Arabidopsis thaliana: one gene and its partner. The protein of the gene in region 2 interacts with the protein of the main gene of each other region in a pairwise test. Each region holds a gene or a part of one and is shown on either strand. Other genes may lie near its edges. The genes, in order: PAP1 and SPA4.

The links.
Region 1: the proteins of SPA4 (region 2) and PAP1 interact in a two-hybrid assay, tested with the Arabidopsis thaliana proteins (one study listed by BioGRID).

What each region holds. Positions count from the first base shown.
Region 1 is NC_003070.9:21,233,036-21,237,206, reverse strand, and holds PAP1 (production of anthocyanin pigment 1), read left to right. Parts: upstream 1-1,914; 5' UTR 1,915-2,117; coding exon 2,118-2,238; intron 2,239-2,778; coding exon 2,779-2,908; intron 2,909-2,997; coding exon 2,998-3,493; 3' UTR 3,494-3,652; downstream 3,653-4,171.
Region 2 is NC_003070.9:19,781,570-19,787,643, forward strand, and holds SPA4 (SPA1-related 4), read left to right. Parts: upstream 1-1,615; 5' UTR 1,616-2,001; exon of another isoform or gene 2,002-2,114; 5' UTR 2,115-2,178; coding exon 2,179-2,799; intron 2,800-2,875; exon of another isoform or gene 2,876-2,886; coding exon 2,887-3,044; intron 3,045-3,140; coding exon 3,141-4,038; intron 4,039-4,123; coding exon 4,124-4,270; coding exon of another isoform or gene 4,271-4,295; intron 4,296-4,375; coding exon 4,376-4,687; intron 4,688-4,778; coding exon 4,779-4,838; intron 4,839-4,932; coding exon 4,933-5,121; 3' UTR 5,122-5,333; downstream 5,334-6,074. Other genes in the region: AT1G53080 (Legume lectin family protein), read left to right, coding at 1-650; AT1G53100 (Core-2/I-branching beta-1,6-N-acetylglucosaminyltransferase family protein), read right to left, coding at 5,421-5,917, 6,006-6,074. UniProt on the Arabidopsis thaliana protein: Repressor of photomorphogenesis in the light. Probably part of the COP1/SPA E3 ubiquitin-protein ligase complex.

The DNA of each region.
Region 1 (4,171 bases), 1.5 Mb from region 2:
GATTAAAAATATTTTCACTATTAATTTTCTCTTAAAAATATTAATAATTTTTTGAAATCAAAAATTATAGTTATTTTATTTTAATAAACGAGAAACACTACAAAAAAAGTTAACTGCATTTAGATAATTTAATAAACTAAAATATCCACATAAAAATTTCAAATTTATCAAAAATAAAACATCAATTTGTTTTTTGTTTTAAATTAAAGATTTGCTATTGATTGCATAAGGAAGAAAACTTTACAAAGCCGAAAGGCCTAAGAGCCCAACACACACAAAAGAAGAACCATTTTGGATCAAGGGAACCGACCATGGGTATTAGAAGTAGTGGTATAAAGCCCATCATATCCCAACACATAACCCACGAATGTTTAATATTAAAAGTTTGTTGTTCGGCTCATGATTAGCGATGATCATACAGAAAGTTTGTATCTAATACGTGCCTTGAATTTTATGTGTACAACAAACAAATTAAATTATTCAAAACCATAAATTATAAAAAATAATTACAGAAATAAAACTATATTAAGAGCGAGCCTACCATCCGGTGTGCAACTTTCTAGTTTATATACAGTGGCGGATCAACGTTAATGAGGCAAATTGGTTCAAATTCATCTAAATAAGACTAGAGTTCACAGGTTCGATTCCTCCTTATAACAATTTGCTCCCACCAATTTTTTTTGCTGGGTCCGCCCCTGGTTATATATATACTTCTACACCAGGTTTGGGTTCGAGTCCACACATAATTAACGACACAATTATAGTGCACGATAGAATGAACTAAAACAGCTAGAGCGTAGAGGGCTCATTGTCTATAAAAATCCTTCGTTAACTTGCAAGAAACCAAGAGTAGAGGGCTCACACTTAAGTCTCCTACATGACGATTATATTTCGTCAAAAAGAAGCAATTAGTTAGCTTTACAGCATATCATTTCGCCTAGGTTTTCCATCGTACACGTAAATTTTCATGCAAGAAAGCAGAAATATACAAATACTAACTTTTAGATACTGAAAAATGAGATCAGATTCTAGTCAAATTTTGTTAAAAGTATTTATAAATTTAAATTGCAAGTCCTCAAAAAGTACGACTAAAAATGCTTTTCTTAGAAAATGATAATAAACCGGCGTTTTATATATAAGTGTTTCTTTTTCTCTTCTGTCCAGAAGTAAATCATTAAGAACCAATATGGCTTTTCTTAAACTAATCTCCGTGATAATCAAATCTTTGATCATTCTCCACACAATCCCATCAACAACATCGATCTCACTAGATGCACCAACAATGATTCTAATCGGCACTACTAACTATAGAGATAGTTGTCCCAAAAAAAAAAAAAAAAACTAACTAGAGAGATAAATCATATTCAATACATGTACTATTTCTACTATACTTAAGAAAATTTGTATACCACTATCTTAACTCTTAACACTGAACATACTATACACTATCTTAACTCCCAACTCTTGTAAAAGAATATCTAATTTTAAGAAAAGACTTCAAATGCTTGTTAAATTTCTAGTGAAGATGCACATTCTAAAAACTGGTAAAATGGTAAGAAAAAAATATATAAAAAAATAGCCTTATTAAAATTTATATCTCCTATTTCTCTATCCAAACTACACGGATGAAGCTTATTGTTATTCATCCACCCTTTTTCTCAATTCTGTCCTATTTCTTGTGCATGAAACTTCTCCATCTTGTAATCGGATAAATCATACCCAAATTTTTTCTTTCTGAAAACATATATACCCGAACATTAATTACTATCGTCCTTTCTCCTAATTTTGTTAAGAAACATGTTTGTTTGTTTTTAGTACTGAAAAAGGATGGAGATACTTGCTAGATCCTATGAACCTTTTCTCTCTAGGACAAATCAGTAACCAAACAATAACTTAGCAAATTAAGCACGACAGCTAATACATAAAATGTGGATATCAAACATGCACGTCACTTCCTTTTTTCCGTCACGTGTTTTTATAAATTTTCTCACATACTCACACTCTCTATAAGACCTCCAATCATTTGTGAAACCATACTATATATACCCTCTTCCTTGACCAATTTACTTATACCTTTTACAATTTGTTTATATATTTTACGTATCTATCTTTGTTCCATGGAGGGTTCGTCCAAAGGGCTGCGAAAAGGTGCTTGGACTACTGAAGAAGATAGTCTCTTGAGACAGTGCATTAATAAGTATGGAGAAGGCAAATGGCACCAAGTTCCTGTAAGAGCTGGTATGTTATTTACGAACACACACACACTAACCGACACACACACACACAAATATGAATATCTATAATCACTACCAATAGTCTTCGTTCTCTCTATTTTCTATTCAGAAAATTGATTAATACCCGGTATTAAAAAAAAAAAAAAAAATTTGTTTAAATGAGTACAAATCATTGTTACAACTTCTTTATGCTGTTTTTACATGCTATTAAAGGTTGTGCATGAAAATTTCTTTTGCTGTTCGTATTTGTTTTACACCTAAACGAAGATTTTTACTTAAAATTAAAGAAAAAAAATTATACTAATTTTAGTTACGTTGCGTATTGCTAGCTTCTCCTATAAAGTCGTTCAAATTTTTACACGCTTGTCTTCTTGTAAATGAATTCGTGGGAAAATTTTGTATGAACACGTGTTTCTGTGTTGGAACAGTTCTTTATTTTTATTGGTGTGCATAGATTCTTCCTGATAAAATATATAGAAGGAGACAAATAAAAAACAGTCTTAGTATGTAGGTATAATCAAAGAATCAATTATTGGTTTTGTAGGGCTAAACCGGTGCAGGAAAAGTTGTAGATTAAGATGGTTGAACTATTTGAAGCCAAGTATCAAGAGAGGAAAACTTAGCTCTGATGAAGTCGATCTTCTTCTTCGCCTTCATAGGCTTCTAGGGAATAGGTATTAATTGTTACCTCGATACTACTTAACTCGGAGAGTCGTCATAAGTTAATACTAATAACATATGTATATTTTCTTACAATTGTTAGGTGGTCTTTAATTGCTGGAAGATTACCTGGTCGGACCGCAAATGACGTCAAGAATTACTGGAACACTCATCTGAGTAAGAAACATGAACCGTGTTGTAAGATAAAGATGAAAAAGAGAGACATTACGCCCATTCCTACAACACCGGCACTAAAAAACAATGTTTATAAGCCTCGACCTCGATCCTTCACAGTTAACAACGACTGCAACCATCTCAATGCCCCACCAAAAGTTGACGTTAATCCTCCATGCCTTGGACTTAACATCAATAATGTTTGTGACAATAGTATCATATACAACAAAGATAAGAAGAAAGACCAACTAGTGAATAATTTGATTGATGGAGATAATATGTGGTTAGAGAAATTCCTAGAGGAAAGCCAAGAGGTAGATATTTTGGTTCCTGAAGCGACGACAACAGAAAAGGGGGACACCTTGGCTTTTGACGTTGATCAACTTTGGAGTCTTTTCGATGGAGAGACTGTGAAATTTGATTAGTGTTTCGAACATTTGTTTGCGTTTGTGTATAGGTTTGCTTTCACCTTTTAATTTGTGTGTTTTGATAAATAAGCTAATAGTTTTTAGCATTTTAATGAAATATTTCAAGTTTCCGTGTTTACATTTTGAAGAAAATAAAATATTAATATATTCTGAAGATTTTTGTTTTTTTTTGGTTATCTACATGACAACAGTAAAAATAGAAAAAAAATCTTATTTTTTGAAAAAGGTATGTATCCGGTGTTTAGAATACTTTCCGAAATCAAACCGCCTATATTTCTAATCACTATGTAAAATTGTAAACCAATTGGGTTAAAACTCAACTAACAAACTTTCTAAATAAATGTCATTTTTGTTTTCAAATATGATTGAACTCGGATTTAGGAGTTTTACCCTTCAGTACCAAACCTTCTCTACCGACCATGTATGGTTGGGCAAATGTCATGTTTTACAATGTTTAGATTACTAAACACTTTGGTTGAGAAGGCAATGCTTTATTTATATATTCTGAAGTCATGTTTTAGTGTTATTTTTATTTATTTTTAAATGCATAGATTGTTAACGTGCAGATTCTCATATGGGCTTAGTTTCTGGATTTTGATTATCAAAACCGTATTCCACTCTTAAATGATTACGACAAAAAAATCAATACTACTAACAAACCTATTTCCCAGTTAT
Region 2 (6,074 bases):
ATGGTCAAGGTCTCTACACAGATCCAATCCCATTCAAATCTTCCAACAACACATCTTCTTCTGTTTACTCTTTCAAAACATCTTTCACTTTCTCCATCACTCCTCGACGGTCAAACCCTAACCCTGGTCATGGTATCGCCTTCATCGTGGTCCCAACCGTAGCCTACGAGTACGACCAAGACTCAACCCGCGGCTTCCTCGGTCTAGTTAACCTCACAACCAATGGCAATCCTAATAACCATCTCTTTGCGGTCGAATTCGATGTTTTCCAAGACAAACGTTTTGGTGATATTAATGATAATCATGTTGGTGTTAATATTAACTCTGTTAACTCAAAGGTTTCTGAGAAAGCTGGGTATTGGATTCAGACAAGAACTAGAGGGAAGAATCAATGGTTGTTTAAGGAAGTGAAGCTTAGTAGCGGAGACAACTACAAAGCTTGGATTGAGTATAAGAACAGTAAAGTCATTGTTTGGCTTGCACCTGCGCATTTAAAGAAACCGAAGAGGCCATTGATCGAAACACAAGTTGATCTCTCGGAGGTGGTTCTTGAGACTATGTATACCGGCTTTTCCGGTTCGATGGGTCGTGGCGTCGAGCGTCACGACATTTGGAGCTGGAGTTTTGAGAACACCGCCAAAAACAATTAGTTCTGATTTTGGTCTTGTTTGGTTTGATTTATGTTTGTTACCGGTTTAACAATTATGTATTTTCTCTTGATTTTTATTCAAAAGTGGTTAAAAAGAGAGTACGTATAAAATGTCAAAATCAAATTTAAAATTACTTTGATCGATTAAACCATTAAAAAAAATCCTGAGAAGAAAACATGCACACTGTCCCGGACCATCACCGTCAATGATCTTCTTGGACATGCATCATTGATTTTGTATAAATAAAGACTCGTTAAAAGCCAAAGCACAACCACGTGGTATTGTGGTCATCGTCCTCATCAAATTGAATCAGTTTGTTCATGTCACAAGTTTCTTAACATAAGTTTTTAAAAGATATTACTAAAATTTAAAACTAAAATATTGACAAATCCACGATATATAAGGTTAAAGCTATCACAGTTTCTAGGTCGTATCATTTTCTACAAAAATCTTGCATTACATTTCAGATGGTTTGGTTTCAATAAAAAAACAGAGTTTTTTTTTTTTTTTCATTGATAAATTTGTGTATGTAATCTAATCATAGAAAAAGAAAAAACACGTGGCGTGTCCGGACGCATGTGATTTTGTAATTTACCACTTACGTTGTCGACTTGTCTCAATCCATTCCATGGAAATGGAAACTCCCCTCTGGTTATTAAATGCTCCCACCAATACATTCTCTTTCCTTTCACCAAAACCAATAATACAAACAATTTTGTTTTTCTCATTCAAGATTTTCAAAGTACAATCATTTCTTTAGGTACTTTCTCTTGTAATAAGGCTTCAAATATGTTATTCAAAAATTATTTTGGTCATTTTAAATTCCTATTATAGCCTTACAAAAATGTGTTATATTATTTGGACCACAACATAATTTAAACATTCCTCTTGAAGAAAATTGGTCACTTCAAAAAAGAACAAAATTCACTTTGACCTCATGGTTTACTTATATTTACATATATGGCCCAAAACCAAAATACGAAAAAGGTTTTAGCTTTACGTTCTTTTGATTCCTAGGTCGTCGTTTAACCACGTTGCTTGCGTGGAAAGAGAAGAGAAGTGAAGATTATCAAAAAGCGAAAAATAAAACCCTCACTGTGAAGTAAAAATCGTAGGCCCAAAATAGATTTCTCTTAGCCGAGAATTTAATTTTTATGAATCTGATTATTGCTTTTCTACGAACTCAGTTTTTGCGATGTGTGGTTCTCAAAAAAGGATCGTTTCTTCGGTGCCTCTTAGTCTCTCAAGTACTTCTTCTTCTTCTTATCTTCTTCTTCGCTTTTCTTTTATATATAGAGAGAGTTTAGTGGTCAAGAAGCTTCCTCGTGTTTGTCTCTTTATGTAATCAAAGGTTGCATTTTTATTCGAATATATTTTCTGGTTTTGGTGTTTTCTGTCAAAGGGTCTTTTAAAAATCTTAACTTTCGTTCTAAATTTCTTTACTTTATTTCGATTCTAACTTAGGGCTTTTGGGCTGGGATCATGAAATGAAGTATTGCAGAATCCAGAGGAGTTTGTTTGGTAATCAATGAAGGGTTCTTCAGAATCTAGTTCCAGAGGATTAAACAACACCTCTGGTGTTTCAGAGTTTTGTACAGATGGTTCTAAGTCTTTGTCTCACATTGATTATGTCAGAAGCTTACTTGGTTCACATAAAGAAGCTAACTTGGGAGGACTTGATGATGACTCTATTGTCAGAGCTTTGGAATGTGAGGATGTTAGCTTGCGTCAGTGGTTAGACAATCCAGACCGATCCGTTGATGCCTTTGAGTGTTTTCATGTTTTCAGACAGATTGTTGAGATTGTTAATGCAGCTCACTCTCAAGGCATTGTTGTTCATAATGTTAGGCCTTCTTGTTTCGTTATGTCTTCGTTTAACAATGTTTCGTTTATCGAATCCGCTTCTTGTTCGGATTCCGGGTCTGATGAGGATGCAACAACAAAGTCTCGAGAGATTGGTAGCTCGAGACAAGAGGAGATTCTATCAGAGAGACGAAGCAAACAACAAGAGGAAGTAAAGAAGCAACCTTTCCCTATGAAACAGATATTAGCAATGGAGATGAGTTGGTATACAAGTCATGAAGAAGATAATGGTTCTCTGTGTAATTGTGCTTCTGATATTTACCGTCTTGGTGTTCTTCTCTTTGAGGTTTGTGCGTAAGAAGATTTGATTTTTGTTCTTAACTGCTTTGTTTTCTTGAGAAAACTGATTTGATGAATGTTAGTCTTTGTGCAGCTATTCTGCCCTGTCTCCTCAAGAGAAGAGAAGTCAAGAACTATGTCTAGTTTAAGACATCGTGTTCTTCCCCCTCAGATATTACTCAATTGGCCTAAAGAAGCTTCCTTTTGCTTGTGGTTACTGCATCCTGAGCCTAGCTGTCGACCATCGATGAGGTGATGATTGATTCTCTCTTTGATGTTTTTAGTTTCAATTGGAAAAGTTTTGTCCTTTAATTAAGAGTATTGTCTCCTTTGTCTTTACTTTTGCAGTGAGTTGCTACAAAGTGAGTTTATCAACGAACCTAGAGAGAATTTGGAAGAACGTGAAGCTGCAATGGAGCTACGGGATAGAATCGAGGAACAAGAGTTATTACTCGAGTTCTTGTTTCTGATTCAACAGAGGAAACAAGAAGCTGCAGACAAATTGCAGGATACAATATCGCTTCTCTCTTCTGATATCGATCAAGTCGTAAAGCGACAGTTGGTTTTACAGCAAAAAGGGAGAGATGTCCGTTCGTTCTTAGCCTCAAGAAAACGGATTAGACAAGGAGCTGAGACCACTGCAGCAGAGGAAGAAAATGATGATAATAGCATTGATGAGGAATCTAAGCTTGATGATACTCTAGAAAGTACACTTCTTGAAAGCTCTAGATTAATGAGAAATTTGAAGAAACTGGAATCAGTCTACTTTGCAACACGATACAGACAAATCAAGGCTGCTACTGCTGCTGAAAAACCGTTGGCTAGATATTATTCGGCATTGAGTTGTAACGGTAGAAGTTCAGAAAAGAGTTCAATGAGCCAACCATCAAAAGATCCTATCAATGATTCTAGACAAGGCGGGTGGATCGATCCATTCCTCGAGGGTTTGTGCAAGTATTTGTCTTTTAGTAAGCTAAGAGTGAAAGCAGATTTGAAGCAAGGAGACTTGTTGAACTCGTCTAACCTTGTTTGCGCAATTGGGTTTGATCGTGATGGAGAGTTTTTCGCCACGGCAGGCGTCAACAAAAAGATCAAGATATTCGAATGCGAGTCGATAATAAAAGATGGCCGGGACATTCATTACCCTGTTGTGGAACTTGCTAGCCGGTCTAAGCTTAGTGGTATATGTTGGAACAGTTACATTAAGAGCCAAGTCGCATCAAGTAACTTTGAAGGCGTGGTTCAAGTAAGTTCAGAAGAAAACTCTCAACCTTATTAATCAATGAAAAGTATGAAAAAAAATCTTATAACTAAGGCTAATATTTTCATAGGTTTGGGATGTTGCAAGAAACCAGTTGGTTACAGAGATGAAGGAGCATGAGAAGCGTGTATGGTCCATCGATTATTCATCAGCAGATCCAACATTGTTAGCTAGTGGTAGTGATGATGGTTCGGTTAAGCTCTGGAGTATCAATCAGGCAAACTTCGAAACTAAACCAAAACGTATTTATGCTCGGAAATGCGAGAATAGTTCTTTTGAGGGATGTGTTTTTAACGGTTGAGTTCGTTTTCCTCTGTTTCAGGGGGTTAGTATTGGAACCATCAAGACAAAGGCAAACATATGTTGTGTTCAGTTTCCATCAGAGACGGGTCGGTCTTTAGCATTTGGCTCAGCAGATCACAAAGTTTACTACTATGATCTAAGGAACCCCAAGCTTCCTCTTTGCACAATGATTGGTCACCACAAGACCGTGAGTTATGTTAGATTTGTAGATTCATCAACACTTGTTTCTTCTTCGACGGATAACACGCTGAAGCTATGGGACTTATCAATGTCTATTTCCGGTATTAATGAAACGCCTCTTCACTCATTCATGGGACACACTAATGTTAAGGTATATTTTTTTCGAGATTCGTTTCTATTGCTTCATTTCAAGTTTGCTTTATGAGATTACAAATACATTTCTGTTCTTGCATTGTGTGTAGAACTTTGTTGGATTATCAGTCTCTGACGGGTATATAGCAACAGGCTCTGAGACTAACGAGGTATGTCTACTCTCACTTCATAAATATACAAAAGAAGAACTGTTGATCCCATTTGTCAATAAAAACCGTGAATTTCGTGTGCTTCACTGGACAGGTTTTTGTGTACCACAAGGCATTTCCAATGCCGGTTTTGTCGTACAAGTTCAAAACTATAGACCCTGTGTCGGAACTCGAAGTAGACGATGCCTCGCAGTTCATATCCTCAGTCTGCTGGCGGGGACAGTCGTCGACCTTAGTTGCTGCAAACTCCACCGGCAATATCAAGATTTTGGAGATGGTATGAACCAATATAAAGTGGCTCAGAAGCAAAATGGTAATATTCCAGGGTTTGGATTGGTATAGGAAACAATTTTTGGGAGAGAAAGTAGGAAAAGTGAAAACAATATTGTTGCTACTAAAGAATTGTGTATATAGAAAAAATATATGATATCTTTCTATTTGTTGTATAGTACTTATTGTAAACCCTAATGACACAGGTGGGCAACTTAACATACAAGTAATAATTATTTACTTCAAAAGAATTATACAATCAAGCTGTGGTGTGTATAGAACTGCAAGATTCTCTCCAAGCTGCTTGATTCTTTATACACATTGATTCTTACCTAATTTAGCCTCTGTAACTAACCTATCTACAAGCTCCTTGAGCCTCACAGCCCCTGAGCTAGGCCTGATCCTAGCCACATCTTCGACAACCGAGCACTCTGGTTTCCCACCGCACCAACCGCCTGGAGTAAAACCGTCTTCGTTTATCCGTATAAGCAGTTCCTTATCAATCTTATCCAAAACAGTATCATTTCTTCTGAACTTCCGACCAAATGCAGATCCGCTCGAAATCATCTTTCCCATGTCTCTTTGAGACAACATACGAGGATGCTGCCTCGGTGGCTTGTCCCATGCGATGTAGTGAAGATCATGGTTCACCGCGGTTTTGGAGAACTCAGGCACGTTACATATGACTGTATGGAAGTAACCTTCAGGAGAAGAAACGAAATTGGTGTAGTACATGAGTAAAGTTCTTGGTAAATTGTCCCAACCGTATATGATATACTCCACGAATGCGTGCGATAGAGCCATCCAAGCTGATCCTACACAAAACAAAAAAGTTTCAAGCTAACAAGAACAGAGTAAAATATGTTTTTAAACCAGGATTAGAAGAACAGTACTTACCGGTAAATAACTTGAAAGCAGAAGGTAAACTTCGATTAGGTCTAACCAATAAAACGTTTGATTTGTTTA